Linked DNA regions of Diceros bicornis minor. The protein of the gene in region 4 binds, or shares a complex with, the protein of the main gene of each other region. Links are inferred from orthologs where the notes say so. Each region holds a gene or a part of one and is shown on either strand. Other genes may lie near its edges.

Region 1 (8,028 bases), on a different chromosome or scaffold from region 4:
CTTCAACTACCACCAAAAGATAACTGCTATAGGGAGAGAGGTCTCAAGTGCATGTAAGAATGCATCTCTGATAGCAATGTACAAAAACCAAACGTGGTGCCTCACGGGTGCTGGGTTCAATTTCTACCAGCAGTTTTTAAATTTTTTAAAGCAGTGGAACCTGTTTTTTTAAATAAATCTAGTGCAGAAACCAAGTATGTAAAACAGATAAAAGCGAAGCTGATCTGGTTGAGGCTGCGGATGGGGAGGTCACCCAAATGCCTCCCACTCAACTCCCCCGTGGTCCCTGCAGTAACTCCAGGGGAACTTCCATGAACAGCAAGGGTCCAACTGAGGGCAGAGTGACAGCTTCTAGCCCAGATGATCTTGAAGGGGTCTTTCTATTCTAAAATTCTAAGCATCTCAGACACGACATTCCTGCTCAAACCTCAGTAATGCTGTGAGAGATGATGTTGGCCTAAATCAGAGCTCTAGGGTAGAGGTGCTTAAAAGTAGTCAGATTCTAAATATAACCTGAAGGTAGAGAAAACAGGATTTACGGTCGGATTAGAAGTGGATTATGAGCAACTATGACATACAACTAGCTACTGGGGCTTTGGGGAAAAAAAAGGAGGAGGATTGGCAATAGATGTTAGCTCAGAGTTGGTCTTTCTCAGCAAAAAGAGGAGGATTAGCACGGATGTTAGCTCAGGGCTGATCTTCCTCACAAAAAAAAAAGTGAATTATGAGAATAAGAGGCAACAAAGGTGACTGCAAGTGTTTGGCCTGAACAAGTAGAACAACAGAGTCACCACCATCTACCATAAAGAAGACTAGTGGGAAGAAGATTGGGTGGGGAGACCAGGAACTCAGTTTTAGATATGCTAAATTTGAGATGCCTATTAGACATCTAAGTGGAGCTTTTGAGTAGAAAGGTAGATATCAAGAGTCTGGAGTTCAGGGGAGAAATCTGAGCTGGAGAAATAAATTTGAGCCATCAGGATATTGATGGTATTTAAAGCCACAGTACTAAATTAGATCAAAGGAAGGGGTGTAGATGAAAAGAGAAGTCTACAGATTGAGCCTTATAAAACTCCAAATCGGACTACGCTAGTAGGAGACACTGGCCAATGTCTACAGGTTAAGGAGCCAAGAAGGAACCAGCGAAGGAGATCGAGAAGGCTCAGCCAACGAAGTAAAGAAAAAAACCAGGAGAGAAGGGTTTTTTAGAAGCCAGGAGTGATGAACTGTGTCAAACACCAGTGATGGGTCAAGTAGGATATGGAATGAGAACAGACCACTAGACTTGACAACATGGAGATCACAACTGACTTTCATGAAAGCAGTTTTAGCAGACCGTTAAGGACAAAAGCCTGAATGGTATGGTTTCAAGATGCAGCAGAGAGGGAACCACTGATGATGTAGATGAGAAAGGAGGGAATTACTGGAGGCATGCCCGTGAGGAGGTGACAACGCATATGGTCTAGGGACAAGGTGGGCCTTTGCTGGGAGTAGAGTTCATCCATAGTAATAGAATGTAGACCCTATGCACATATGTGCAGAAAGGAGGGGGTAAATGTGGTGGAAGTTCTCAGCTGACTGCATATATTTTTTCAGTGAAGTAGGAGGCAAAGTTGACAGGTGAGAATGAGGATGGGGAAAGAAGCGTGGAGAAACAAAAGCATGAAAGATCTGTGTTCTTTCTTCACCAATGTGCTGGGAGGCACGAAGTGCCAAGATAGAGCACCACACAGCCCCAGGTTCTGGGAAAACTGGTTTCCCAAACGTTAAAACTTGGCTTTGCACTTCCTAGCAGGGCAAATCACTTAGTCAGTTTCAGCTTCTGCGCCTGTAACGCCTGACAGATTAGAGAAACACTCTAAAGAGAAACCACCGAATAACTCCTTAAGTAATAAGAGTATCAGCCAACATCTCAGCCAAGTTCAAAGCACTTTACACAAATTTCTCCTTGGTTTGCACCACACCTTTAGGAAGGGGCAAGTATTGCTCTTATTATTTTGTAGATTAGCACACTGAGGCACAGGAAGGTGAAGTGACTAGCCCAAGGGTACGAGACTAGTAAGTGTGTTGAAGCCACATTAACTACCTACTCTGCCGCCTCTTGCATCTGCACAGTACCTTACAGGTTAAAATGCATTTCCACGGACTATATATCTCATTGGGGCTTTCCAACACATCTGTGAGGCAAACCATGTCATTTTAAAGCTGAAAGATCTGAGGCTCAGTCACAGAGTCCAGCTCAAATCCAAGTCTTCCACAAACAAGAGGATAATGAGTGCTTAATAACTAAACTGTCCCTGTTGGATAACAGCTGGGTTACTACCGGGCTGTACCAACCATGGAAGGGATGAGGTGAGGAAGGCACCTCAGAGCCAGACTTCTAAAGAAACTTAATGGCAAGGTGAGGCACAGGGACCAAGCTGTGGACGCCCAAGGGCTACGGGAGGCTGACAGAGGAGACGCACGGGCTGAACTGTGTTTAGGAATCAGAGAGGACGCCCGTACATTCCGGCGCCAGGACACTGAGTTCAGGGCTGCATTGCCACGCCTAGGGTTTCCTAAATTGGCCTGACAAGAATTAGCCGGAACACTTGTCAAAACCATGGTTTCTTCAGGACCCCCTGCCCGGGGAAGGTTCTAGTGGGGCTCAAGAGTCTGGAGTTTTAGGGGCCAGCCCAGTGCCACAGCAGTTAAGTGTGCACTCTCTGCTGCGGCAGCCTGGGGTTCGCGGTTCGAATCCTAGGCGCGCACCCACGCACCGCTTGTCAAGCCATGCTGTGGTGGGGTCCCATAAAAAGCAGAGGAAGATGGACATGGATGTTAGCTCAGGGCCAGCCTTCCTCAGCAAAAAGAGGAGGATTGGCAACAGACGTTAGCTCAGGGCCCGTCTTGCTCCAGGAAAAAAAAAAGTCTGGAGTTTTAGCATACCCCGCCCCTCAGGTATAGTGGTCACGCAGGTGTGGGAACTCTGACAAAGACTGACTCCAGTCGTTCCTGCTAAGGGCCAAGAGGGGGCAGACAGCAAGGGTCGGCTCTCGCTCGGGGTTACCTTCTCAATTTTGCCCAGAAAGAGCTCCTTGGCGAAAGCTCGGCTCAGCGGACTGGTGCGCAACGGGCGACGGCTCGCGGTGAAGGCCACCACAGCCCGGCACGCACGTGTCGCCGCCACCCCCCTGCGCATGAAAAGCCCGCAGCCACTCATGCTGCCCGCAGCCGCCCACACCGCCGTCACTGCTGCCGCCATCTTCTTCTCCGCGCCTCAGTCACGTGCATCTAGCTCGGCCACCGGATGACGCCACTGGCCTGCGCCACCCCGCCGGCCGCCATTGCGCTTGCGCAGTCTCCCTCCCCGGGAGGTAGGCGGGGCGAGGCCGGCGCCATCTTGGCGGTTTCGTGCTCTGGCTGGTGGTGGCGGCGGGAGGGTCTTTTATTTTAAATACCAGCGATTGTTTTTATGCATGCCAGTCCGGGGAAGCTTCTCATGGGTGCGGGGACCTAAGCTGTGGCCCAGCGGCCTCCACTTGCTTCCCTCTCACCAGTTGGGGCGACGAAGACGTAGGAAAAACTAAAGCAAGGGAATGGGAGGAAAATTGACGCTGTTGGTTATTTCTCGAGGGGAGCTGAGTACGAGTACTGTTCCGTTTTTTAAGTGGATGGGGGATGCGTGCGGATTCATTTTGTTTTGCTTAGTAGCCTACACATGTATATGTTACGTATGGGGTTGGGGAGAGGACAAGGGGTGTTCTGCCAGAGACAGGCCTGGCTAAAACTCGGTGAGTCACCGCTACCCTGGGAGACCCCAACGGAAAAGGCCGGCGGGGCAGAGAAGCTGCGAAGGAACCGCGAAGAGGCGGGAGGGGACAGGCGCAGGGCCCGGGGAGGGGGCTGGGCACCCCCGCGGCGCCGAGCGACGCCCTGAGCCGGCGGGCGGGGGCTCTCCAGGGTCCGGCGGCCGCCCCTCTGGGAAGGGTTCCTCTCCCGGCCGCACTGTGCTGTACCGGACGACAGCTTTCACCACGGTGTTGGAAAAGGCTTCTCCGTCATGTGAACCGGGGAAGAGTACGAAATCGCAGTCCCCTCAGCGGGTAAGCCCGGCCCAATGAAAGATTACCTTGTCTGGGTGCAGACTTGATGACACAACATCAGGGGAAAAGAGCTCAACGACTTTTCTTGGTTGCGGAATATTTACAAGCATCTTCTGCAGTGTGCTGTTTTGTCTAAAAGGCTTGTCACCTGGTTTCTTCGTCAGTGGTCAATATTTGCCTAATTCGAGCATTCAGCTTCACAAGAAGGCATTTGGAAACAGCTGCCTTTGTGAATTAACCTCAATCGCGAAACAAAATCGATGTTGCAAAAACGGCTTGAGTTCGAACTGGTGTACGTTTTTGCAAAAACAAATGTAGTCAGGTCAATCAAGTAATCTGATAATACGTGAGATCCTGCTTAGTGTACAGAGGTCACTCTAAATTAAACAAATGAGAAAGTCAGTGGCACATATTTTCCAAAACAAAAATTTTAATCATAATTTTTAAGTATTCTAGTAGATTGTAGTGGAAAAAGATTTTGGAATTCCACTACGTTGCCAGTTTCTTAGTTGAGTTTCCTCATCTGTAAAAATGAGTATATACCATTTATCTCACAGGACCCTTGTGAAGATTAGGTAAGCATCTGGCACAGTGAATGATCAATGTTTTATAGTAATAAAAATGGAAAATGGTTACACTCTGATAATTTCCATCTTATACTTGAGTATTTGCCTCTGAGAAATAGGATGCTGTTTTTAAACAATTTGCTGTAAACATAGAATTTCCCGTATTCGGTGCTTAAAACACCCTCACTGAGTATCTCTGAATGTCCTTCCTGTATGAGCACATCAATACATCTTATTCCCATACATAACTTCCCAGCAAATAAGCTGACACTCTTATGTGGCCATAATATTAGTGTTAGTATGCCAGGATGCTTGGCTTTGGGTCTCAAGCAGGTTGTCTGACTCAAAAACTACTCTGAAATCCCTCAGTGTTAAAGCTGCAAAGTCAGAAGCTAATGGAGAAATTTACACAGAATTGGAGATAAGAAAGAATTAGATTTGTCTCCTGTTCAAAGGTTACAAGATCAATAATCAGTTGTGTGAGAAATGAGTTAGTCTAGTCAAGGTTCCTGTCTCAGCAGTCAAAATCCTAATAAAAGGGCTCACAAATGAGTTGTATAAATTTTATCACCAGTTTGTTTCCTGCTGAGAGAGAAGTTGGCTGACACCTTACTGTCTAGAGATCAAACATCTGTGTGTAGAGGGATGTCCTTCAGAGAATACTCTTGTTGCATACAATAAATTATGCTGTCTACTATTACTTCCTTTTGATGTATATTTGTTCCCATTTGGGGTACGTTAGTTCTTATGGAAACATGGAAGTCACTGGCTTGTTGAAAACCACAAATGTAATGGAGTGTTATGGGTTAAATTGTGTACCCACAAAATTCATTTGTTGGAGTCCTGACCCCCAGTACCTCAGCATGTGACCGTATTTGGAAATAGGATTTTCTATTGCATTCCGTTGCAGATGTAATTAGCTAAGTTAGGATGAGGTCATACTGGAGTAGGGTGGACCTCTAATCCAATACGACTGGTGCCCTTATAAGAAAGGGAAATTTGGACATAGATATGCACGTAGGGAGAACACCATGTGAGGATGAAGGCAGAGATTGAGATAATACTTCTACAAGCCAAGGAACACCAAAGATTGCCAGCAAACCACAAGAAGCTAGGAGAGAGGCCTGGAACAGATTCTCTCCCACGGCCCTCAGAAGGAAACAACCCTGCCAACACCTTGATCTTGGACCTCTAGCCTCCACAACTGTGAGACAATAAATTGTTTAAGCCACCCAGCCTGTGGTTCTTTGTTACAGCACCCGTAACAGACTAATACATGAGGTATTGTGATTCTTGGCACATAGTATTAGAAATAAATAGGTCCTAATAGTGACTACAGGACTGGGGCTATATCTTAGAACCCATGCTTACACCCAGTAATCCTGCTATGGTCTGGAATCAATAGTCTCCTAAGTGATAGGACACTGGCACAGTTAAATACTTTGGGAAAGCCCCTTAGACTACACAGCCTGTACCAAAGTTAGGAAAAATAGCAAGATGTAGGGAAGAGACTATGAACTAGGAGTCATGATAAGAGATCTAGTCCTAATTCTGCCATTTAGCTGTCTGATTCTGGACAAGTATCTCTACTGCATTGTCTATGACTTGGAAGCGCTGCTGTGGCAGAGACAACTAGTAATCAAAAAATTGTGCCCACTTCCTTAGCGTGCAGTTGTCAGCACAACGCAGCCGCCAGCCAGGGACTACATCGCCCAGTCCCCCTACATCCAGATGACATTCTCACTAACGTCATGTGAGTGGCGATAATGTGACTTTTGTCCAGTTTTTAAGAAAAGAGTGGCCATTCTTGGCCACCCCATCTTCCACCAGCTGGCAGCAGAGGACTGTAGGCCGCAGGGGATGGCAGTACAAGATGGAAGGAGCCTAGGTCTTTGAACCAACCATGTGGGGGATAGCCATCAGCAGAATAGGAACACCTACATCAAACTGTTACATGAGCAAGAAATATGTATTGTATTAAGCCACTGACGTTTTGGGGTTCATTTGTTATAGCAGCCAGTGTTAACTAATAAAAATACTTTCCGAGTTTCAAAGAAAACACTATAAAGTACAGGATAAAGAGTCATCATTACTAGGGGCCAGTCACATTCATCAGGCAGACTGAGCCCCAAGCAACAACATTGTTATTATTGAGCCCTATCCTGGTCATTGGAGACAGTGTCCTCAAACAGAGTGATAATAGCAGCTAATATTTAATGAGTGCTTTCTATGCCAGGTACTGTTGCATGTACTTTACCTGTGATACATCATTTAATCCTCTAAACAGACCTGTGAATTCGGTGTTGTTACTTTATGCCCATTTTACAAAGGAGAAAACAGGCACTGAAAGGTCACACAGCCCTAAATAACAAAGCCAGGCCCTGGACCCTGCCAGCTGGCTCCTAGAGTCTTGTGTTCTTATCCCCCTATACTGCCTTCCTGAGGGTAGAAGGCGAGAGTTAGGTGAATAGAGACTCAGACACCCAGTCCCCTTTCTTTTCTCCATTATTGGTGTTACCAGGCAAGTGGGCCTGTGGCCTGATGCGCATGAAAAGCCAACACTATGGCACTGGTTTTTGAGAGAAGAAAAGGCTTTATTGCGAGGTCAACCAGCAAGGAGACAGGAGGCAAGGCTCTCAAATTTGTCTCCCCAATCCAGGGTTTGGGGCAAAATTTAAGAGGTTAAGAGGAACAGGCTGGTATGTGGAAGCACTGGTGGGGCAGGTTTCGATTGGAGGGCTTTAAACATTTACAGTAAGGTGTGGAAAGGGACTAACACTGGATCTTCCTGGACAATGGACTCCTCACCTCTGAAGAGAGTCCAGCGTTTGAGTTCCCGTGGTCCTTTGGTTCCATGCGGGGAGACTCTGCTTCCAGGTGTTATTTCAGGTCAAAATGTTCTCTCCTGCGCGTGCTGCAGCTACGTGACTTGCAGTTTTGGCTTGCTGCCCCTGAAAAACAACTTTAACATTCTGGTGTTGATAAGATGGGGTCAGTTTAAACTGGTCCTGTGGTTACATTGGCTACCTGAAATATGGTCAAATTACTCTGACAAATACAAGTCAGAAGCCCCTTGAGGCCTTGCTCTCACTCTCCACTTCTGCCAGCTCATTGGGGATGATATTACCCACAGGCAAAGATTGCAGGGAGTGCCAGGCACAGCACGTGGTACGTGGGCGCTCATTTCACATCTTTTCTGTCCCTTCTTTCTTACATGTAATTGTCAGTCTGAATATTTTGGACTCGTCTAACAAGTCTTTCTGCCTAGCAATGTATTTTCAAAGAAGACGCATTAATCCTGTTCCTCCCACCCCACCACCCCTATGTCTTGGGCAAGTCACGTCCTATCCCTGAGTCTCAGTTTCCTCACCTATAAA
Region 2 (8,027 bases), on a different chromosome or scaffold from region 4:
TTTTATAGTTTTCAGTGAATGAGTCTTTTATTTCTTTTGTTAAGTTTACTCATATTTCACTCTTTATGAAGCTATTGTATATAAGATTATTTTCTTAATTTCATTTCCACATTGTTCATTGCTAGTGTATAGAAATACAATTTATTTTTATATGTTGATCTTGTATCCTGCAACCTTACTGATCTCATTTCTTAGTTCTCATAGCTTTCTATTGGATTCCTTAGGATTTTCTATATACAAGATCATGTCATCTGCAAAAAAAGATAGTTTTACCTTTTCCTTTCCAATCTGCATGCCTTTTATTTCTTTTTCTTGCCCTTGCTGGAACTTCTAGTACAATGTTGAATAAAAGTGGTGAGAGCGGACATCCTTGTCTTGCTCCTGATCTTAGGGGGAAAGCATCCAGTCTTTCATCATTAAGTATGACGTGAGCTGTGGGTTTTTCAAAGATGCCCTTTATCAGGTTGAGGAAATTCCCTTCTATACTGGATGCTGAGTGTTTTTATCAGAAAGGGTACTGGATTTTGTCAAATGCATTTAGTTGCATCTATTGAAATAATCATGTGGTTTTTGTCCTATATTCTATTAACATGGTATATTACATTGACCTTCAGATTTTAAACCAACCTTGCATTCCTGGGCTAAATTCCATTTGGTCACAGTCTATAATCCTTTTTATATGTTGCTAAAATTTGGTTTGCTAGTATTTTGTTGAGGAATTTTGTGGCCATATTCATAAGAGATATTGGTCTGTAGTTTTCTTTTAGTGTCTGTTTGATTTGGTATTAGGGTAACGCAGGCCTCATAAAATCAGTGGAAAGTGTTTGGATCATTCTTATCACCATTTAAACTTTTTCTAGCATCTCCCATCTTGACCTGAAGTCTCCCTCCAGCCTCTGCTCCACATCTCTGTTCTCTTTACAGCAAAGCTTCTCCTGAGAGGTGTCTACACACTATGTTCCTTCCTCACTCTTTCCAACTTGGCTGTAGCCCCAAAACCCCACTGACACCACTTATAAATGCCCCTTGTGTGTTCTACACTCACCAAAGCCAGTGATTACTTCTCAGGCCTCACTTTGCTCAATTTCTCAGAAGCATGTGGCACGAGTGGGGCCCTCCTCCCACCTTCTTGACACTCTTGATTTTCTTCCTAGCACCCGGGCCTGTTTCTCAGCCAATCAGCAGGACCTTCTCCTTCTCTAGAGTTTGCAATGTTTGCAGACATGAACGCACAGATGAATCACCTGGGATCTTGCTAAAATGCAGATTCTGATTCAGCAGGTCTGGGGTGGAGCTAAAGACTCTGCACATCTAACAAGTCTCTGAGTGATGCTGATGCTGCTGGTCTGGAGACCATACTTTGCGTAGTAAGGCTGCAAAGAGTCCCACATACTGGATTGGTCTGTCTGCTTCCCTGAGGTGTCATTCAACTTGTTCCCCTCTTCTCTGTATTCCTGTAGGCAGCTCTAATGGTTCTCAAATTTTGCTCATATTAGAATCATCTGGGGAGCTTTAAGAAATCCCCATGCCCAGGCCATCCCCCAGACACATTAAATCAGAATATCTAGAGGTAGGGCCCAGGCATCAGCATTTTAAAGCACTCCAATGACTGTAATGTGCAGCTAAGAGTAAGACCTTGATCTAAACCTTTGCTACTTAAGTGTGTTCCAGGGACCAGCCACATCAGCAGCAGCATCTGGGAGCTTATAGAAAATGCAAAATCTCAGCCTTAATCCAAACCTACTGATTCAGAAGGTGCATTTTAACAAGAATCCAGGAGTCCAGGTATCTCCTACATGTGCTAACGTCTGACAAGCGATGACGTATGTGCTGATGGCTCCCAAAGGCTTATGGCTGGCTCTGAGCTCCAGCCCCCATACCTCGCTGCCACCCTGGCGTACACCCAGCCGTCTCACACTTAATTTGCTCCAAACTGATATCCCTGCTTAAACTTCTTCCTTCCCATCCTAGCCAATGACACCACCATTCCTAGTCATTCAGGCCACAAACCGAGGAGTTGTTTCTGAGTCCACTATGTCCCTCACTCCCCTATTCAGTTCATCAGCTGGTCCTGGGAACTACTTCCAAATCCATCTCAAACGCATCCATTTCTCTCTATCTGCAGGCCACCACTCCAGTCCATGACCTCTTTCCAGAATACCCACCCAGCCTCCCACTTCTTTCCTTACCTGCCTCCCATCAGTTCTCCCCACCATGGCCAGAGAGAGCTTTTAAAATGTAAACTAAAGTCAGTGTTCTCTGCCTAAAATCACTAATAGTCTATCACACTTAGAAACAGACAGGGTCTACTCCTCCAAACTCAACTCTCATCACTGGCAGCTCCAGCTATACCGTTCCTTAAACAAGCTAAGTTTATTTCAGCCTCAGGGCCTTTGCAGCTGCTTTCCCTCTGTTTGGAAATTTCTTCTCCTAGATCAGTCCATAACTGTCTCTGGTCATTCTGGTCTCTATTCAAACAAGAGGCCTTCCCTGACCACTGCCCCACTCCCACTCTACAGCCCCCATTACCCTGATGAATGCATTTTTAGCAGTTATTAGCATCTGAAATCACCTGTTTCGTTTATTTCTGATTTGTTCAAAGTTTGGCTCCCCCAGGAAATAGGGATTTTTTGTCTGTCTTTCTCATTGCTATGTCTCCAGCACCCGGGACAGTGCCTGGTATATATCAGGTATCTAACAACTATCAGTTGAATGGGAAGAAGAGCTAAATTTCTACAAAACGTCTATAAATCTGAACCCCTAGGCAGGGTGCACCTACAGCAACTCTGGGGCTGGCTGGCAGGATTCCGGGTCCCTGGGGGGAAACAGGTAGACGCGGGTTCGAACTCCCGCCTAGATGCCGACTGGCGGGGTCATCTCTGGAGACAGCCTTAACCTCTCTCAGCCTCAGCTGTCTCATCCGTACAATGGGAAATCAGGGACGTGAGAAGGCGGGTACCCGGAGGGCGGCCTTTCCCAGCACGTCCCCGCCCCACACTCCCAAAGGTCACGGTGCCCTGGCCCTCCAGCCGGGCCCCTCTGGGGCCGCCCTCCCGCCCTGCCGGCCCAGAACGGGCCGCCCCGGGACCCAGCAGTTCGCGCTCGCCTCCCCACGCGCGACCTACCTACTCACGCGGCCGGCCGCGGACTCCGGGCCGGCTCTGTCGTGCTGCTGGGCGCCGCCATTTTGCCCAGAGAGCTTCCGGGTCATGGGCCGCCAGGGAGACAGCAAATCGAGAACGCCAGTTTAGAGAGGGCCCGCCCCAAAGGGAGGAACACCAATAGGAAGGCGGAGAGACCTTGGTCCCGCCTCATAAGGAGCCAGGCCCCGCCCCTAACGAGGCAGGCCGCACCCCCGACCTGGGAATTGAGGAGTACCGCCCGGGAAGGAGTGAGTGGACCGTTCCCGGGCTGGGACGCTGGATTTGGGGGGACCTGTGAATCCAGCTAGCGGCCCCAGTTTTTCCACCTGAAATGGAATGAAATATTAAAGGTGGGAGTGATGTGGATTCCTTCATTTGTTCAACAAACGTTTATTGAGCGCTTACTGTGTGCTAACTGCGCTGAGGATATGGCGCTGACGTCAGTGAAGGAGACAGGCTCTGCTAATCTAGCTCCGTGACTCTGGGCCAGTGCTTAAGCCAAATGTGCCTCGATTGTCCCACCTCTGAAATGGGCAAATTATAATAACTTCATAGGGGTTTTTGAGGTTTAATTAAGTGAATCTATGCAGAACAACCATATAAGTGCTTGCTATTGTTATTATGGGGGATCCTCGCTAACACCTCCCTCCACCTCCCCCACTGGGATGGTATGGCGTCTAGTTTGACGCCTTGGGCCACCCTCACTGAGGGCTGAGGGTCCTGTGAGACACAATTCATGACTGTGTCTTGTGGCCGCGGTGTGTGTGTAACTGCGATGTTGGGGTGACAGAGTTGGGGGTTTTTCATGCGTTTTTGTAGTGTCTCAAAACTCGAGCAAAGGTGTCTAGGTGTATGTGTGGCTGGGTAAGTGCGGGTCAGGGATGGTCCCCGTGTGTGTGTCAGTGTGAGCGAGGCCAGTCTGGGAACTGGTGTGTGCAGGTTCTTGTGTGTCCACGTGTCAGTAGCTACATGGGCACCTGTAATTGTACCAGCTTCTGGGTGTCTGTGATTGTGTGTATGTATGCAGGGGGTGGGTGGAATTTGTCGCACGACTCTGAGGGGCTGGCAGTAGGTGTGTCAACATTTCTGTGATCATTCGCCTGCCGTAATGTGTGTGCGATGGTGTGTCTGAACACCGGTGGTCGATGACTGTGTTTGTGATGCCTCTTGTGTTCTGAACTTGTGGATAAATGATTGTGTCCCACCGTCGAGGCACATGTGACCGTGTGTGACACCCCATATCTGTCTCTCTGCGTGTGATTGTGTCTACCAGCATGTGTCTGTGATGGTAAGAGTCTCTGATTCCCTGTGTGCGGCAGGCCTGTGACCCTCGATAATCCTCTTGCCTCAGGGCGTGGCAACATTGGAGATGGTGCAGCTGGCATCCGGCCCGCCGGCTGCAGGAGCTGGGCAGTCGGGCAGAGGAGGTACCTGGGGCGTGGAAGTGGCCACAGCGCAATGACCATCCCTGCCTGTCCCTATGGCGCCCCGCTCCCATGGTTCAGCCTTCTGATTTCATCTTGCACCAAATGAGCCCCTGGGCGCTCAGCCAGCGGATGTTCCGCAGCCTCTTGCCGCGTGGGAGAGCCTTGGACTCGCGCAAACGCCTCCAATAGGACGCCAAGTACTGCGGGGGCGGGGCCTGAGGGGCGGGGCCACGCGTGGGAGATGGGCGGGGCCTAACTGGCCACTGTTTGCGCTCCAGGAATGTGTCCATTCTCCTCTCCCCGGCCATCAGCGCTCTCGGCCAGTCCAACCTGCTCTCCGCGGAAACAGTCAGCACCAACCTCACTCTGTAAGAGGCAGCTGGGCCCAGGTGGACCTTCTCCACTTCACTCCCACCCCTACCCTGCGCTCCTGTCGGGGTGGGGAGCTGGCAGCATGGGTGTGTGTGGGGGGAGTGGACACTGCTGAGGGTGTCTAGGTGAGGAAGAGACGCCTCCAGGAAGGTTCTCAGAGTGAGCCCCAGGAGGCTGCATTAGCTCGCAGACTTCTGTGCCAACTTGTGTCTGCTCTCAGCCCTTTGCCAATTTGGGATACTTGGGTCTGGGGACCTGTGGGGGCCTTCCTGCTCCTCTCCTGGATCCCTCTCCCCCTCCCTCACCCCTGACCCCCACTCTCCTGTCCACAACTGGTTGCTGAGTACAGTGAGCTGCCCCCGAAACTCGCTAATGACCTTGCTGACTGGTGTGTCCATGGCTGTAGTCTATGTAGCTGGCATCGCTGTAATGAAGTTCTAAAATTTGAGAGGTGTTGACTGGTTATGCTGGACATTCTCAACATCCTGTGGATGTAAATCATCGTGCTGTCCAGGGCCTGAGACAGGGGAACCCTCATGCTCCAGAGCAGAGTGTGGGAAGGGATTGAAGAGATGTGCAAGAGCTTCCCTCAACCGTGCTACAGACTTGGGCCAGGGCCACAGTGGGGGAGGTTGTCCCTGGGAGCCTGAGGCTGTGCCCACCCCACCAGGAGAAGGCTTAGACTCACTCAACAGGTATTTATTGAGTGCCCCCTTTGTACCAGGCACTGTTCAAAGCATTGAGGAACAGGAGTGAGCAAAAAAAGATTCCTGACCGTGGGGAGCTGGCATTCTAGTGGAGGAGATGGACAAAAGACCCATGTTCTATAGAAATATTTTACAACTATTCGTAGCTTGAAAAAAATTAAGTACAACTTCAAAACTGTTTAGGATATGACTTTGTCTATCATCTTGTTAACCTTAATCTATTTTGAACTTGGAACATGTGACCTTTTGAAATGAACAGCATTTTCTTTCTTTTTTTTTTTTTTTTGCTGAGGAAGATTCACCCTGAGCTAACGTCTGTTGCCAGTCTTCCTCTTTTTTATTTTTTATGTGAGCCACTGCCACAGCATGGCCACTGACACTTGAGTGGTGTGGTTCCGTGCCCAGGAACCGAACCCGGGCTGCCGAAGCAGAGCGCACCAAACTTTAACCACTAGGCCATTGGGGCTGGCCCATGAACAGCATTTTTTAATCTCTTTTTGCTTGTGTGTAGAAGTTGATTCTCTGTGTTCTGTGTATTAATTTAGATATTTAGATTTGTCTTCCATCATTCTGTCATCTCAAAGCATCAAAATACATTCATTAATTCAACCAACATTTATATGCATTTTAAAACAAATATGTATTGGGTGCTAGATCCAGAAGGAAATATAAGATTAATTGAAAAAAGAAAAATAAATTTAAGTGCTTAGAATTTGTTTCCAAGAAAGGGCATATGTTCATGAAGTAGAAATGTAGGGCCGGCCCCGTGGCTTGGTGGTTAAGCGCGTGCGCTCGGCTACTGGCGGCCCAGGTTCGGATCCCGGGCGTACACTGACGCGCTGCTCGTCCGGCCTTGCTGAGGCCACGTCCCACATACAGCAACTAGAAGGATGTGCAGCTATGACATACAACTATCTACTGGGGCTTTGGGAAAAAAAAAAAAGAAATGTAAAATGCTACATGTGGTTAACAAAATGGTTGATATTAACCAATAGATTAAGAATTTTTTATTCATTTATTTTTTGTTTATTTATTTATTTTTTTGTGAGGAAGATCAGCCCTGAGCTAACATCCATGCTAATCCTCCTCCTTTTGCTGAGGAAGACCGGCTCTGAGCTAACATCTATTGCCAATCCTCCTCCTTTTTTTTTCCCCATAGCCCCAGTAGATAGTTGTATGTCATAGCTGCACATCCTTCCAGTTGCTGTATGTGGGACGTGGCCTCAGCATGGCCGGAGAAGCGGTGCGTCGGTGCGCGCCCGGGATCCGAACCAGGGCCGCCAGCAGCGGAGCGCGCACACTTAACCCCTAAGCCACGGGGCCGGCCCTAAGAATTTTTTAAAAAGAAATATTTTATAGCTTGAACTGCATGACGATTACGTGGCTATATGTATGTAAAAATTCGTTGAGCTCTCCATTGAGATTTGTGCATTTGAGTAATATCTCAATTTAAAAGTTTTTAAAAGTTATCATGGATTCATTGAGCTATAATTTGTACACTCGTCTATATGTATGATATACTTTAAAAGTCTATTTAAACACTCTGCTTCCATTAGGATGGCCATTATCAACAAAATAGAATCTAACAATTATTAGCGAGGATGTGAAGAAAGTGGAACTCTTGTACATTGCTCGTGGGAATGTAAACTGGTTCAGCCACTGTAGAAAACAGCACGGCATTCCTCAAGAAATTAAAAATGGAGTTACCATATGATTCAGCAATTCCACTTCTGGGTAGATACCCAAGAGAACTGAAATCAGGGACTCGAACAGATAGGTCCACACCATGTTTATAGCAGTTGGATTCACAATAGCCAAAGCAACTGAAGTGTCTGTCGACAGATGAACAGGTAAATAAAATGTGGTATAGACATACAATGGAATATTATGCAGCCTTAAAGAGGAAGGAAATTCTGATACAGCCTACAGCATGGATTGAGGACGTTGTGCTAAATGAAATAAACCAGTCACAAAAAGACAAACACTATATGATTCCACTTACATGAGGTCCCTAGAGGAATCACATTCATAGAGACAGAAAGTAGAATGGTGGGTGCCGGGTGCTGGGGGAGGGGGATGGGGGGTTAGTGTTTAATGGGGACGGAATTTCAGTCTTGGAAAATGAAAAAAGTTCTGAAGACGGATGATGGTGATGGTTACACAGCAACGTGAATGTTCTTAATACCACAGAACTGTACATTTAAAAATGGTGCATTTTATGTTATATATTTCACCACAATATTTTTAAAAGTCTCCTTACAAAGAGATGAGTAATGTAGACAGAAATGAAGCAGAGAAAGGGAGGAGGTGCTAGAGGGGTTTACAGTTTGAAATCAGCTATTCCAGGAAGATCTCACTGAGCAGGTGACCTTTGTGTC
Region 3 (7,748 bases), on a different chromosome or scaffold from region 4:
ATTCCTTTTGGCTGAACTCAGCACTGTGGCTGAGGTAATCAATTTTAAACTGAATTTAATTACAATTGATCATCAATTAAATATAAGTAGCTCCCAAAATAGTGTTCTCCTAATCATTTTCAATTAAAAAATATTTATTGCACAAATAACATTTCAACATTAATTTTAGACATTTTTTAAGAAGCAAAAGAAATTACCCACAGTTCCAATATTCCAACAAACCACTATTTTCGTCTGTTCACATTTCCCTCCAGTTCTTTTAAAAGCTTTCTTCATAAACAACTCAATAAAGTTAATAGGATCTTAGATACTCAGAAACAATGGCAATACAGAAGATCTGCAAATAAAAGTTATTGACTTTCAGTCTGGGGGTGTCTCTTACTTTTCTTTTCTAAGATATTCAAATTTTTTTTCTATGATTTCGATGACCATTGGTCTTCTGAGTTTTGCATCTCCTAGAGAAGGACTGGGCTGACCATGTGTGTATGTTGCCATCCTGATGTCCTGGAAAACACAAAATTCCAGAACCATAATAGCTAACGATATTAATATTAAATCTTAAAAATTCTACAGATTCAGATTAAAAAACATTTAGACCCCAGTAATGTGTCAGGTAACTGTCATCTGCTTTCACACACTTTGTTAATGATTCAGTCAACATTTAGTGAGCTCTTACGATCTGCTAGACAATCGCTTTTTGATTCACACAATAACTTTGAGAAACTAGTAGGATAATGATCATCTCTACTTTTATAGATGAGAAAAATGAGGCTCAGAAAGGGTGACTTGCCTTAGGACTTAGTGTAGAAGGATAACTTATTGAAATACTGAGTTTTTGTTTTCCTTACAGTTTTCCCTGAAGGTACCCAGGCCCTTTGTTTTAGTTCTCCTTGCTGTAGCTTTTTCAGAGCTGGAAGGAAACAGTAGCTACTTGTTGACAACTATCTCTATCCTCTGTCTCATGAAAGCCTGAGCTCATTTTGGAGATTATGTTGAGTTTCCTGGAACGGCAGGAGAGAGCGGGGATTGCCTTAGAGAACAGCAAGAGAGAACACCAGAAGGAGGGACACTCTTCCAGGCCAGGAAGACATAGTGGATCATGGCTACTTTGGATCATATAAGTTATATATCCAGCTCTCTAGCAGCACCTTGGGCAGAAGCAGGGCCTTTGCTGGAAATTGCTATTTGGTATACCACGGAGCCTGGACACATGGCACTGGGCTCCAGGGTTGGAAGGTTCCTGTGTCCCAAGTGTGATGTATGAACAGACAGTTGCCAATGTCAAGGGACCATAAGGGTTTGGCTAGTAGCTTCTTACCAGAAACCAGTGGTAAAAAAAAAAAAAAAAAAACCTGGATCCTCAGAAAGGATCTTTTCTGAATCTTTTGCTCTGGGTAAGATTCTCAGATCTCTGTGAAAAGTCTTAAAAATAACATTTGTTAAATCTTTTACTATGCTGCCATCAATGGGATTCCAGATTAGCCAATGAACGAATAACAAAATCTCTGGCCCTTCACATTTTATACCAGTCTCCATTTTAACAACCTTTATAGTTAAGGGCATGGATTAAATCTCAAATTTCAGAAGTCTTGGGCAAGAGAATAGAGTAGAGTAAGCAAAATAAACCGAGAAGATACTTAATAAATCAGTGATTCTCAACCTTTAGTGTGCACAAGAATCACATGGGGAGTTTATTTGAAATGCAGTCTCTTCAGCTCCCTCCTGAGATATGTGTATTCAAGAGGAGTAGGGTGAAGCCTAGAAATCTACATTTTAGTAACACCAAGTGATTCTGATGCTGGCAGTCAATGGACCCATGGTGAACATCACTGTAATACTCATTTGCTAAATAAGTGATATGTACCAATCCTAATCCTAACTAACAAAAGGCCAATTCATCCATGGCATCAACATCCTAAAGGTATGAGTTCCTTTGAAACTTCATATGGTATTACATTATGAATAATAATGGACCAGTTTCTTCCCCTGCAACATTGTAGAACTGTACTCAAGCCAGTTCTCTTTCCCTAACATATCTGAGGAGGACAGGAAAAAAAAAAATGTTACAAATTACAATTTCTCAGGGACTAGGTTTAATCTTTTTTCTCTCTCTGACATTTAAATGGAAAATGGAAGAGAAGTGATAGTAATATCTAAGGGAGATTCTATATCTAATCTATCTAACGTACCACGAAGGCAGATGTCAGTAACATGATAACCAGAAACCTTGGACAAATTTTTGTTTTGCAATCATCCCATTCATTGAAGTCCCTTACTCCCCACAAAGAAAACTTTCAGGCAATGCCTTGTACCAACCTCCTACCTTGTCTACAGCCTCAGTATCTAGGGAACACAGACACTCAGGATTATGATCTCAAAATACTGAAACACGACAGCAAATATTTATCGAGTGCCTAGTCTTTGCAAAGCATTGTTAATAAAGCAGAGAAAGTAACTGGTCACTTTCTGATAGATTGTTAACAAGTACTGAAATGTAAAGATTTTGCTATAACCAACATTTTATCTAAAAATTAACTAGTCTAAGGCCACTCAACTGGTCACCACGATTGTACCAGTAAGAGTGCATTTATGTAGGTTTATAGTTTACAAAGCATTTTACGGTTTTGTAGTGCTTTTATTCATATTATTTCACTTGACTTTCAGAATTTTATTCGACATTCACTCATCATTTACGGAGCACATGGTATTTGACAGCCCCTCCCACAGCCCCCACCCCCGCACCCATAATCAAGATCCTCACGAACCCACAACCCAGCCGGAAGTCAGGACTAGAAAGGCAGGCAATTTAAACGCAGGATGAGTGTGCCATCAAAACAAAACAAAAAACATAAGAAAAGCCAAACATAACCTAGCCAGGGGAAGTGTGGGAAGGTTTTCTGGAGGAGGGGACATTTAAACGAATATCCGAAAGAGGAGAATTTGGCGGAGGTGGGGTGGGGAGGCACAGGTGCAGGGAGGTATTTCAAGTTGAAGCAAAGGCCAGTGCAGACGCTCGGAGGCAAGAGAAAACAAGCTGCAAGCTACCAGGACTAGATTTGAGGTCTCCTACTTTCTCTTTGCCTCTTTCCATAGCAACTGAGGACTAAATTAAGTACGACCTGCATGGATGTGGGAGCTGGTCTCTTTAGATTTTCAAATCCCTTTTACATGCCTCATTTCAGAAGAGTCTGCCAACACTTTGAGGCTGCAGAAATCACTGCCCACAGAACTCCCGGTTTTTGCCTACCTTGGGCGCTCCCCCAGCTCCCACCTGCACACCTGCGTCCCTCAGGTCAGCCCCAGCCTCACGCCCCAGCGCCGCCATTTTGGCGGCTCACGTGACTTGCGGGTGGGCGGGAACCCAGAACGCCCAGGGTGGGAAGTGGTGCCGGCTCACGCGTCTCTCCTGCAGCCGGGGCCCGCCCCGACCCAGTCAAAAGCCGCGCCCTCCATCCTGGCTGTGATTGGGCTCGGCGTCCTGAAATTACTGCCGCTCATTGGCTTCGAGGAGGTCCAGTCGCCCGTGGGCCCGCCCCTCCTCGCCAGCCCTGCGTTCCCTTCCCTTGCTGTTTGTTCGCCTAGCTCGCTCTTCTCCCACCCTGAGGGGAATGTGGGGCGTTCCGAGCGTGGGGGTGTTGCTTCGCGCTGTCCTCCCCTCAGGGCACCTCCGTTGGCTGCGGCCGAGCTGCCTGCCCCTTTCGCTCCTCGAGGGAGCTGGCCCCTCTGGCCTGGTCCGTGTGTTAAGACTCCAGCTTCTCGGACACCTCCTCCCCAGAGCCCCCAGCCGGCCGTCAGCACAGCCCCGACTAGCCTCCTCCCCTCGCAGCCGCCTGACTCCTCTCCCCAGTCTTGAGTCCTCTCACATTCCACCCTTTCACCCTGCTTGGAAAGGGACTGGAGAGAAGTTTGCCCCCCACTCTCCGAGAAGACCTCCTTGCCAGCCGGTGTTTCGGGGTGGGGGACGCTGCGAGGAGGCCTGGCGCCCTTTTGTGCACGTTCATTGCCCAGCAGTATCTCCCAGACCAGCAACCCCCGACCCTCCAGTCTCCATGTCTTAGAGAAGCCAAATTCGAGAGTTATATAATTTCTAGTGCTGCTGTTCCTCCTGCCTGAGGAAACACTTCGTCGCGTGGAGGGTGCAGGACATTTCACTGCTCTTCTGTATAAGAGCGGGGTGTGGGCAGGGGTGGCCAGCGGTGGCAGAGAGATTTCGTGTCTTTTCCGCAAAAGGAAGGTGGGTAGTTTGGAGAGAGATTGAGAAAAAGGGTGGATGTGGAAGCCAAGCAGCCGAACTCTCTCGTTTAGGAAATCGCGAACCGTTTGCACAGCTTATGCTTACATGCCTAATACTACTACAGCGTCTCAGAAAACACCTTTGGGGGAAGGTTTGACTTCTCCTCGCGAACAGTCTCAGTGTTTTTCCTCGCCGGATAGGGAGCTGCTTGGATGCGAAGAGATGGCATGATGTGAATGACTCCAGTGTGAAGAAATCTACTTCGCCAACTCATCCTGCATCAAGTGCCCATTGAGTAGCACTGTCACTTTAATGTCTCCATGCCAAGGGATTGCTTTCCTCTTTTCAATCCTCTCGGTTAATACATGGGAGGATCAGAATCAGAGGGGCTTTAAGGATAAAGCCTGAGGGGCTTGGAGAGCACAGAAGAAAAAAATGGAAGTGACAGCAAGCTGGATTCTGTCTTACTGAGGGGATGATCCGGAACTTATGGTCCAGTAAATAGAAAGGGGCCTTTCAGTCTCTGTTCTGCCCCAGAAAACTGTTCAAACTCACCCACCTTTTTAGAGACCAGAGTCAAAGAGATTTTTTAAGTATTTTTTTTTTGGAGGGGGTTTAAAATTTTCTCTAAAGAATTGAGAATCTTTATCGTCAAGCGGTTCATCTTTGAATTTGATCATATATAGAGTAATGAGACAGCTGTGTAAATTTGGTTTGTGCCTTAATTGAGTTAGTCACTGAACTCCAAAAATGTTGCTGCCTGAAGGGGAGTTTTAATAACGTTTTCTATGCTTACAATAATTTTCTCAGCTTTTTTTTTAAATAGAACAAATATTTTATAAAAATTGAAAAACTCAAAAGTTATTTTTCTCTAAACTGTGTGGGCAGTGTCAAAAGTTTAACTGTGGAAAATATACGTCTTTTTTTCTTTATGTGAAAGAGAAGACAGCCTGGATTTCAAAACTGAACAGTAAAGTAATTTGCAACAGTTACCTGGCTCTTGGCCTCAATCCAGCTGGATCAAGTTGAGACCTGAAAAGAGATCTTGAATCCTGTGGCAGTGCAAAGACCCAAGAATGCCAGTCAAAAAGAAAGGTGGGCTATGAGGCTTCCTGTATAGTATATGTTTCTTCATGTTCTTCATTCTGGTATTCGCAATTTAAATTGTATTCCATTTGAGAGTAAAATTTTGTTTGAGTTTGGGGAAATATTTACTGTAATAATGTCTTTTCAGTGATACATCATTCAGTAATATTATTTTGCTAAAGTGAAATGAAGTAGGACTATAGTATTTAATTACAGACATTTGTGATTTCATAAATCAGGTTGTCTAAATCACCATTTATAATCAGCGTAGATTTGATACCACAGGTTTTGATTTTTCTTTAGCTTGTTTTCTTAGCTTGTTAAAGGTTACTTTAAAGAATCTTTAAAAAACTTGTACAGTAGAGTTCTTCCTCATGGATTTAATATTTATCAAGCAAATTACATAGTTGTAAAAGATAGTAAAGTTGTTTGCACTGAAAAAAATTATAGACTTATTATTTATCTTTTGATTAAAAAATAGATTTAGTATTTGGGTTTACACTAGTGTAAATCTTCACTTTTGTGAAAAAGCACAACTTTGGTAACTGTTGTGCTTTTCAGATGCATGCATTATCCAATAACATGATTGGCAAGTTCCCAAAATGAAGCAAACACCTGACACTCTGCGCCCAACCCACCCCCCCACCCCGAATTGATCAAAATCCAGTGGGTTCCTGAGGTATAGTTTATTATAGGTCAGATCTTGAGGATTCACTTTAGCCTAGATCTACCAAGGTGAACTTTGTTCTTAAGGATCCTAGTGAAACAGGTTTGGTTTTTTTGACGTTGTATGGAAGATCAGATCAACTATAAAGAGTTTTCTTGAGAGTTTTGAACCAAAATTTATATGAACACCTTTGAACTCTACTGTACTGGGCTAGCATAGATCCAAATGTTGACTAGTTATATGAGTTGCTGCAGTCTGAGACTAAAGCCCAGGGTGAAGGTTAAAGTGCAACCTGGTTCTGCATGATGTTTAATCCTTCTACCTGTGGATTTGAAAGGTGCATTGAAGAAACTTATAATCAGTGAGATGCTTTATCCCAACTGGTATCTGTAGAGATGAGCAATGATATATAAAACTTTTGAAACACCTAGAACTGTCCCTTTATACACTGGGATTTAAGACTGGGATTGTTTCCTTCTGCTCTCCCCCATAATATCACTGAGAGAAGTAAACTATGAGATTTTGGAGCCACACCTGTCCAGACCTGACACAATTGGTTTATCTGGAACAAGAGTGGTTTTGGGAATGTAGCAAATAAAAGATATGGCTCTTTGACTTATTTAGCTTGCTGTGTGTTTTTACTCTGTCTACCATTTATTGTTCTGTACACAGTGTCCCTTTTGGACTACTTTATTTTAGACTACTAATTGAATTAAACGCTTTATGTCTGTGTGTGTGTGTATGTGTGAGAGAAAGAGAGAGAGAAAGAAGAGAAGAGGGGGAGAGAGAAAGGAGAGAGGGAGGGGGAGAGACAGAGAAAGGCATAAAAAGGTATCTGGGAAGGAGGAGGAGGAAGGGCAATTGATGTTCTAGGTATAACTTAACTAAGCAGAGTGAACTTAAGGTTTCTAAACCCAATAGACTGAGTTTATTAAAAGTTCCTACCTTTAAAGGAAAATTGCTGATACGTTATTGAAAATCTTACTTTATGAGAAATAATTTGATATTTATTTCCTTCCTTCCCCCTCCCTCTCTTCCTTCTTTCCTTTCTTCCTTTCTCTCTCCCTCCCTTCCTTTTTCCCTCCCTCTCTTTCCTCTCCTCTTCCCTCCCTCCTCTTCTTTCTTTCTTCTTTGACAATGGTTTGATAGTAATGGATCAAATTTTTTAAGGAATCAATCAGTTCTAATTAGCAAAACATGTATATATGTGGATTATACTAAGATATATGCATTATGTAATTTACCTAGAGAAGTAGTTTATCTTTTTTTAATAGCTTAAAACTATTAGTATTAAGATATATATTTTTGAATATTATAGACAACTAGCCAAACAAGTTATGACCTGTGCATTATATTTTTAACTGGTTAAGCTTACTATCTATACTGTTTCTAAAATATAAGTAAAACAAATATTTTAAAGTATAACCTAGATTTATTCTGCACTGTCCTCTGTCATCTTGAATCTTTTTTCTTTTTTTTTTTTTTTTTTTTTGTGAGGAGATCAGCCCTGAGCTAACATCCGCCAATCCTCCTCTTTTTTTGCTGAGGAAGACGGCCCTGGGCTAACATCCGTGCCCATCTTCCTCCACTTTATATGGGACGCCGCCACAGCATGGCTTACCAAGCAGTGCGTCGGTGCACGCCCGGGATCCGAACCAGCGAACCCCGGGCCGCCGCAGCGGATCGCGCGCACTTAACCGCTTGCGCCACCGGGCCGGCCCCGAATCTTTTTTCTTTTTAAAGATTTTATTTATTTATTTT
Region 4 (7,859 bases):
AGAGATGCAACTTTTTCCAGGGAGCTATGGTATAGCTTTCCTCAAAATGTTTCTCAAAATGTTCAGAGATCCTAAAAATATCTCAATTACCACTACATTTAAACCAATGAAATGAGAAAAACAAATATCAAAATAATAGGATTTTATAAAACTAGTATTCCCAGCATGCCCCAATCAATATAGAACCAGCATAGTTATAGTCAAGTTCTGCACAGAAAAAAATCTTCTAATAAACTTCTGCCAGCATGAAATAAGCACCTACTATTCGATGACCACTGTCCAACATGGTTCACACAAACCTAATGCAGTATATTAAACATAAATAAGGGAATAACTTCTAGGAGTCTATTTGAAACAGAAAATTAAATGAACCAACAAAGCTGAAGCAGGTTACACATATTTTTCAAGGCAGAGAGATAGGGAGGCACCAGTGTCTGAAACAATGAACACTATAAAGTTAAATACGGTACCAGGGACTCAGACATCACACAACCAGGGAACTACTATGTCAGTTTCTATAAGTCCTGCAATTTGAGAATAATATCCCAAACTACCACCCAGAAGCCTCTTAAAGGAAAAGATTGTGAGTCCTGTCTACACAAAAATGTAAAACATTAGCATAGCAAAAGATATAAAACAAAGTTAACAGGCAAATAGACTGAAAATATCTGCCACATATCTAACAGTCAGTGGGTTAACATCTCTACCACAGAACTCCTACAAATCAATAAGGAAAAGACAAAACTCAATAGGGAATAGATTATAAACTATTTCCCCCTGCTTTGTTTTTCAAATCTTAAAATGCTGCTCACAGCTTCTTCACAGCATTTTTTCCGGGGCCTGGTCCTCCACTCATTGAAGTTGTTATTCAACTCACTCTCTGAACTACCCCCACAGAGCTATAACATGGTCTCCAGGAAGACTAAAAATTAACCTTATGTGCTCTTCATTTAAAGGAACTATAGCATAATCTACAAGACCAACATATATCTGATAAGAGACTTGTATCTAGAATATATAAAGAACACTTACAATTCAACAATGAAAAGACAACCTAACTTAAAAATCAGCAAAGGATATGAATAGACGTTTCTCCAAAGACGATAAACAAATGGCTCACAGCACATGAAAACATGCTCAACATCATTAGCTATCAGAGAAATGCAAATCAAAACCACAATGAGATATACTTCACACCCACTAGGATGGGTGGAATTAAAAAAACAGATAATGACAAGTGTTGGCGAGGATGTGAAGAAATCAGAACCGTCATAGACTGCTGATGGGAATATAAAATGGTGCAGCCGCTTTAGAAAACAGTCTGGCAGTTCCTCAAAACGTTAAACATAAGAGTTACCATATGACTCAGCAATTCTACTCTTAAGTATACACCCAAGAGAAATGAAAACATGCTGTTCACACAAAAACTTGTACATGAATGTTCATAGCAGCATTATGACAGCCAAAACAACTCCAATGTCCATCAGCTGACCAATGGATAAATAAATAGTGGTATATCCACACAATGAAATATCACCTAGCAAAAAAAAAGGAATGTACCGATACTACAACATGAATAAACATAAATGTTAAGTGAAAGAAAACAATCAAAAAAAACCACATACCCTATCATTTCATTTATATGGATTGTCCAGAATATGCAAATATATAGACAGTAGATTAGTACAGTAGTTGCACAGGGCTAGGAGTAGGGTTGAGTAGACGGGAAATCAGAAGAGACTGCTAATGGGTACAGGGTTTTCTTTTTGGGGTGACGAAAATGTTTTGAAATTGATTGTGGTGATGGCTATACAACTTCGTAAGTGTACTAAAAATCAATATATTTTAAATGAGTAAATTCTATGGTATGCGAACTACACCTCAATTAAGCTATTTTTTAAAAGGACTGTAGATTGTGACTTTTTTTCCCGTTATATCCCCAGCTCCTAAAACACTGCCTAGCAATATCAGGAATTCAATAAATTCTGACTAAATGGAAAAATAAATTTCAAAATGTGAGCAAACCATTATAAAACCTCGTCATATTCAAAGTCATGAAATTACTGCAGGTTGGCAAGGCGGGAGCATACAGTACGTATCTATAACCGTGTTTTTCATAAAAGGAGATGAGACTGAAAAACTCAGTAGAAGCAAGACCTTGAAGGGTCTTGATGCCAGGCTAAGAAATTCGTATTATCCTGAATCAACGGGAGGACCAATAAGACTTTGAGAAGAATAACACAATCAGATCTGTGTTTTAAATGTGCAAAGTGTAAGTGGTGTTGCTATTCTGTCCAAAGCTGAAGTAGAGCAATAGCCCTCAGGTGAGAACGGGGAGGAGCTGGGGGAAGAAATGAGAAGCAAATGTCAAAATGTAAGAATCTTTATGGGTTTCTTAAATCACACAGCACACCGCGCGCGCGCGCGCGCGCGCACGCACACACACACACACACACACACACACACACACGCCCCGTCACCCACACTGAAAATCACTTGTATGGTCAGCCTCTGTATGGAGCTCAAGTTCGATGGGGACAAAAACTATTATGACCACTGCGCCAGAAAATTCTCTCGCACAGTCATCTGGGCAGGGTCCTCCTCAGAGAGTCGTGATTCAGGACTACCAACAGAGCGCCACTGTCGCCTCTCCGGGAGGACCCCGACTCTTCACAAACGGGCTCTTGGCACGCCCAGGAAGGACCGCAGGGCGAGGCGACGGTCAGCTGCGCACGGCCTCACAGCTCCAAGGGGACGGGCGCCTTGCAGCGTCTCAAGGCGCGGAGCCCACCACGGGCCCCCAGGCGCCATCCACGCAGCCCAGGGAGGTCGCGAGCCGCCGGGAGGTGACCCCTGAGGGGGCTGCCCTTGCAGCAGCCCGCCCGCCGCGCAAACGCGGCCGCCCGGACTGCGGGAACCAGCGCTTCTGGCGGTAGGAGAGGCGCGCACCCCTCTCGCGCATCCCAGGCCGAGGGGCGAAGGCTGACCTGTCAGGGACACAGGCACCACGCGGCAGGAAGCAGACGGGCTCCTTCCGGATGTGGGCAGTGGGTGGGCAGAGCCGCGGGTGGGCGCGCCCCGCGGGGAGCAGTCGAGACTTCCGGCGTCGCCGCCTCGCGGGGCTAGAGCGTCGGGATGGCTGGCGCCCGAAGGCCCGCGAGCGGCTGGGCGCGGGCTGGGACGGCCTGGGCTGTGTGGCTTAGCTTCCTAGACGCTCGGATTTGCGTCGGGAACGGGTTCGTCTCCTCAGATCCCCGCTTTTTGTTTTATACGTCCCGTTAGCCCCCAACACACATATGCAGTCCGGGAGCGCTGGCCGAGGAAGTTTAAAGCCCTGGTTCCTATTGCTCCCCGCAGAGATCTGACGCTTCGGCTCTCCCGCGAGGACGCGAAGCCACGGGGATCTGAGCCCCACGCTGGCGGTGAAATCCACCTTGCCCTATTCGGCTGAGAAATTTGGCAACGCTCAATTTTCTTTTATTCACCAAATATTTATGAAATGCCTACTGTGCTCCAGGGAATGCAAGGGTAAGAAAAAACTAATGGTCTCTGTTTTCATGGAGTTTAGTAGTAAAATAGATAATGATAGAATCCTACAATGGATAATGATAGTACCTCATAGATTTCTTGTGAGGGTGTAAAGCACTTAGAATCGTCTGGCACTTTGTAAGTGCTCAATAAGCGTTAGCTGTTATTTTCATCTTGACCGTTCCATTGCCATCATCACCACTGTTTTCATCATCATTTACATTTTCAATGTGAAGCTTAGAGTCCAAGTACCTTTCTTCCACAAAGCAATGAGTCTCACGATTGATGGGTCACCTAAATGTGATGTGTTCATACACATCATAACCATAACTCCAGGGTGATGGAGTTATGGTTACCGCATAACCATAGCCAGACTATTCAAGTTTAGTCTAAGGCTGTGGTCTTCAAACTCTTGATCACACCTCCCTATCAGAAATAAAATTAGATTATATACGCGTACTATGTATGGTATTGATATATATTATGCATACTATAAAATTTTCACAAGAAATAGAACTTTAGAAAGGTGAAATAAAAATATTAATAGAAGTTCTGTTTTCTGCCCATGCAACAAATAGGTTGCCATACATACATGCCATCACTTTGGAGTCCACTGGCTAAAAGAGCACATTATCAAAGAGGCCTGTCATTAAATTATGGATCCCCAGAATAGTTCTTTTATGAAGAATTAATAGAAACTAATCAGATTTTAAGGTGCTTGAACTATAAGGACTATTTGAATGGTTCCTTACATCAGAGGAAATGAAGAAATAAAATAGGCATCCATTGATTAATCTTCATTGATCTGACATTGATTATTGACTTCTTAAAACCCAAAGAGATTAAGATTGCAATGTCTGGGGCCAGCCCAGTGGCGCAAGCGGTTAAGTGCGCGCACTCCGCTGCGGCGTCCCAGGGTTCACCGGTTCGGATCCCGAGCATGCACCAATGCACTGCTTGGCAAGCCATGCTTTGGTGGCATCCCATATAAAGTAGGGGAAGATGGGCACGGATGTTAGCCGAGGGCCAGTCTTCCTCAGCAAAAAAAGAGGAGGATTGGCAGATGTTAGCACAGGGCTAATATCTTCCTCACAAAAAAAAAAGATTGCAATGTCTTACACCAAGCTTGAGATTTCATATAATAAATCAAGTAACAAAAACCTTATGAGGTTTTGTATATGTGTATTTTATACAGTATTTGTGAAAATGAACCCTGGATCACTTAGCTCCTATACCATACCAGAAAGAGAAACATGATTACTTTGTAAAAAGAAAGCATAAAATAGGCTTTTCTGACCATTTGCTTGAAAACTCAGAATTTACCTTTCTATCACTGGACTTACATCTACTAAAGTTTTGATCTAAATTTTAATATGGTTTAATAGTTTATAGTTAATGTTGGTATGTATCTGATATTTATTCTCCTCTTACTCCTTTGTTACGAAACCCACATCTTGTTCAGATAGCCACCCTATTCCCAGCACTATAAAATGATACTGATTAAATCTAAACCAATCACCATACAGAATTCCTCTAGGAATAGTTGTTGGTCAAGGGATGAGCAAGTGCCTCAAGTTAGCTCAATCAAAGCTGATGCTGAGGACAGCTGAACAAAGTGATAGAAATATTATTCCAAGCCTGGAGCTCACCCTCTTTATGAACTTCTTGTAGGGATATCTGATGTTTCCTTCTTGTTTTCTGATAGAGATAGTGTGAAGATTAAATGAGTTAAAATAGTGCTGGTAATGTTTTAAACGTTCAAAATGTTAGTTATTATTGTTAAGTCAGCTTGAGACAAGGATTCTGTTTCTTATAGTCAAAAGTATCCTATCTGATTCATACCTCTCTCTCTTTTCTTTTTATTTATTTATTTATTTTTTTGTGTGTGAGGAAGATCAGCCCTGAGCTAACATCCGTGCTAATCCTCCTCTTTTTGCTGAGGAAGACCGGCTCTGAGCTAACATCTATTGCCAATCCGCCTCCTTTTTTTCTTCCCCAAAGCCCCAGTAGATAGTTGTGTGTCATAGTTGCACATCCTTCTAGTTGCTGTATGTGGGATGCGGCCTCAGCATGGCTGGACAAGCAGTGCATCGGTGCATGCCCGGGATCTGAACCTGGGCCACCAGTAGCGTAGCGTGCACACTTAACCGCTAAGCCACGGGGCTGGCCCTGTCTCTCTCTTTTTTATATATTTAAGGAAAGAATCTGTTTCACTACCTCTTAACTTCTAAGGAGCCAGGGCAGGGGTAGGAGGTGGAAAGAGGAGGAGTGTTGGCTATAATGCTGTCTATGAGGGGTACTGTTAAGTGGTGAGATGGCCACTTTGAGAAATGCACTCAACAATGGCAGGATCCAATACAGCATATCCAGTATTTCAGCAGCAGCCTGGAACTATCAAATCTGAATGGAGTTACTACACATGGTAGTTGTTTATATACGTGGACATATCATTTTCTGCATATTAATATTTTACTCTGCTACCTTACTAAGTTACCTTATTGTTTGGAGTTGATTCTTTTATATTTTCTAGGATTGCAATCATATCATTGAAATAGTGATAGTTTTACCTAATCCTTCCAAATTTTATACAGTCATACATCGCTTACTGACAGGTATACATTCTGAGTGTACTTACACAAACCTAGATGGTATAGCCTACTACACACCTAGGCTATATGGTACTAACCTTACAGGACCCCCATCATATATGCAGTCCGTCGTTGACCGCGAAACCTCATTATGTGTTGCATGATGTTGGGGAAGAGGGAGAATGCCTCCCCACCCTTTCCTTTAAGGTTCTTATGGCTGGCCAAATAATTAAAAATGCAGGCTAGCAGGAGAAAATCAAACAAAGTTTAAGAACATGTATACATGGGAGAAACTCAGAAAATAGAAACTGAGCAACTCGTGCTTCTGACTAAGCTGCTCACTTAAGTATTTTCAGCTAAAGGCAGGGAGGTTGTTGGGGGTAGTGGTTTGGGATTTCAGAGGGGAAGAAGACAATTCACATGGAGATGGAAATGCAAATGTTTGTCAGGCAGATCTTTACAGGGCCACCTATAGAGAATGTGGCTGGAGAGACAGAATTTTTGATAAGATGGGCTTGTTGGTGCCTTTCTTATCGCATTTATTTTACATTATATACTACAGCCATCATATGGTAGTGGCTCCTTCCTGTAACAGGCATTCTACATTAAATTCTTTAGGCAGTTTGGGAGGGGAAGCTCAAATGTTCTCCTGCATCTTCTGAGCCTTTATTGTCTTATTATGTCGAAATAATCCACATACCAGAGTGGCACATCTTCGGGCGGCTTGCCCTGAACACCATCAATGACTGTACTTCTAATTTCTCATATCTAATTGCATTGGATAGTATTTCCAGCAAAAAATATTTAATAATAGTGAAGACAGTGGGCTTCCTTGTCTTATTCCTACCTTTAATGGGATATCTCTAGAATTTTCCCATTTAGCATGCTGCTAGTTTAGGGGACTGAGGTAGATATCTATTATCATGTTAAGGAAGTATCCAGCTATTGAGAGAATAGGGAAAAATTTGACACAGAGGCTTTGAGAAAACAAAGCATTGAGCATGCCATTGCATCTTGTCATAAAACTAAATGTAAATTAGACAATATTTGCCTCAAAGACACTAATAAAATTAACATTAACTAAGTGGGATGAATGTTCTTTCTTACTTATCTTACGTACTATCATCATGAAATTGAGTCCTGACTAGTTCGTTTACAAGAAATTCCCTTGTGATATCCTGATTTTTAACCCTGGAAAAGTTTTTTGTTATCTCTTATAAAATGTCACCTTTAATCCAAAGTCTATGCTTGTTCTACATGTTTGTTACAGGAAATTGCATGGATCTACTGTAGTTTTATAGGAAATTGTAACAGTTCAAATATGCTGGTTGTAGAAAATAGGGACAGTTATAATGATAAGGAGGTTACGTCATCACGAAGATATAAAAATCCCAAAAAGGAGAGAAGTTAGAGAGGAAGAAGACCAAATTCTGTGTATGAATTGCCCATATTTCTGGCTGACACCTGAAACACACACATGTGGAGCAGACTTTTGAGCTATCTGAGGCTCAAAAACTGAAGAGAGACATCAGCTGCTGCCCACCACAGGTGAGACTGGCAGAATGAAAAGAGAAATAGACAAATCCACAGTTATAGTTGGATCTGTCAACACTTCTCTCAGAAATTAGCAGAAGTTCTAGATAAAAATTTAGTAAAGGGCTGGCCCCATGGCTTAGTGGTTTAGTGCGCGCGCTCTGCGGCTGGCAGCCCGGGTTTGTATCCCAGGCGCGCACTGTCGCACTG

What was found.
Region 1: cytochrome c oxidase assembly factor 1 homolog (region 4) and ACAD9 share a complex: the UniProt entries of both Homo sapiens proteins name them as parts of the mitochondrial complex. The link is inferred for Diceros bicornis minor from reciprocal best matches to the Homo sapiens genes COA1 and ACAD9.
Region 2: cytochrome c oxidase assembly factor 1 homolog (region 4) and ECSIT share a complex: the UniProt entries of both Homo sapiens proteins name them as parts of the mitochondrial complex. The link is inferred for Diceros bicornis minor from reciprocal best matches to the Homo sapiens genes COA1 and ECSIT.
Region 3: cytochrome c oxidase assembly factor 1 homolog (region 4) and TMEM126B share a complex: the UniProt entries of both Homo sapiens proteins name them as parts of the mitochondrial complex. The link is inferred for Diceros bicornis minor from reciprocal best matches to the Homo sapiens genes COA1 and TMEM126B.

Annotation. Positions count from the first base shown.
Region 1 is NC_080741.1:89,663,565-89,671,592, forward strand, and holds the start of ACAD9 (complex I assembly factor ACAD9, mitochondrial), read right to left. Parts: upstream 3,248-8,028; 5' UTR 3,245-3,247; coding exon 3,050-3,244; intron 1-3,049. UniProt on the Homo sapiens protein: As part of the MCIA complex, primarily participates in the assembly of the mitochondrial complex I and therefore plays a role in oxidative phosphorylation.
Region 2 is NC_080769.1:7,999,688-8,007,714, reverse strand, and holds the start of ECSIT (evolutionarily conserved signaling intermediate in Toll pathway, mitochondrial), read right to left. Parts: upstream 3,192-8,027; 5' UTR 3,126-3,191; intron 1-3,125.
Region 3 is NC_080746.1:46,900,670-46,908,417, forward strand, and holds the start of TMEM126B (complex I assembly factor TMEM126B, mitochondrial), read right to left. Parts: upstream 3,348-7,748; 5' UTR 3,326-3,347; coding exon 3,248-3,325; intron 505-3,247; coding exon 383-504; intron 1-382. Other genes in the region: DLG2 (disks large homolog 2), read left to right, coding at 5,311-5,329. UniProt on the Homo sapiens protein: As part of the MCIA complex, involved in the assembly of the mitochondrial complex I. Participates in constructing the membrane arm of complex I.
Region 4 is NC_080780.1:901,142-909,000, forward strand, and holds the start of cytochrome c oxidase assembly factor 1 homolog, read right to left. Parts: upstream 3,061-7,859; 5' UTR 2,988-3,060; intron 1-2,987. Other genes in the region: BLVRA (biliverdin reductase A), read left to right, coding at 3,495-3,528. UniProt on the Homo sapiens protein: Component of the MITRAC (mitochondrial translation regulation assembly intermediate of cytochrome c oxidase complex) complex, that regulates cytochrome c oxidase assembly.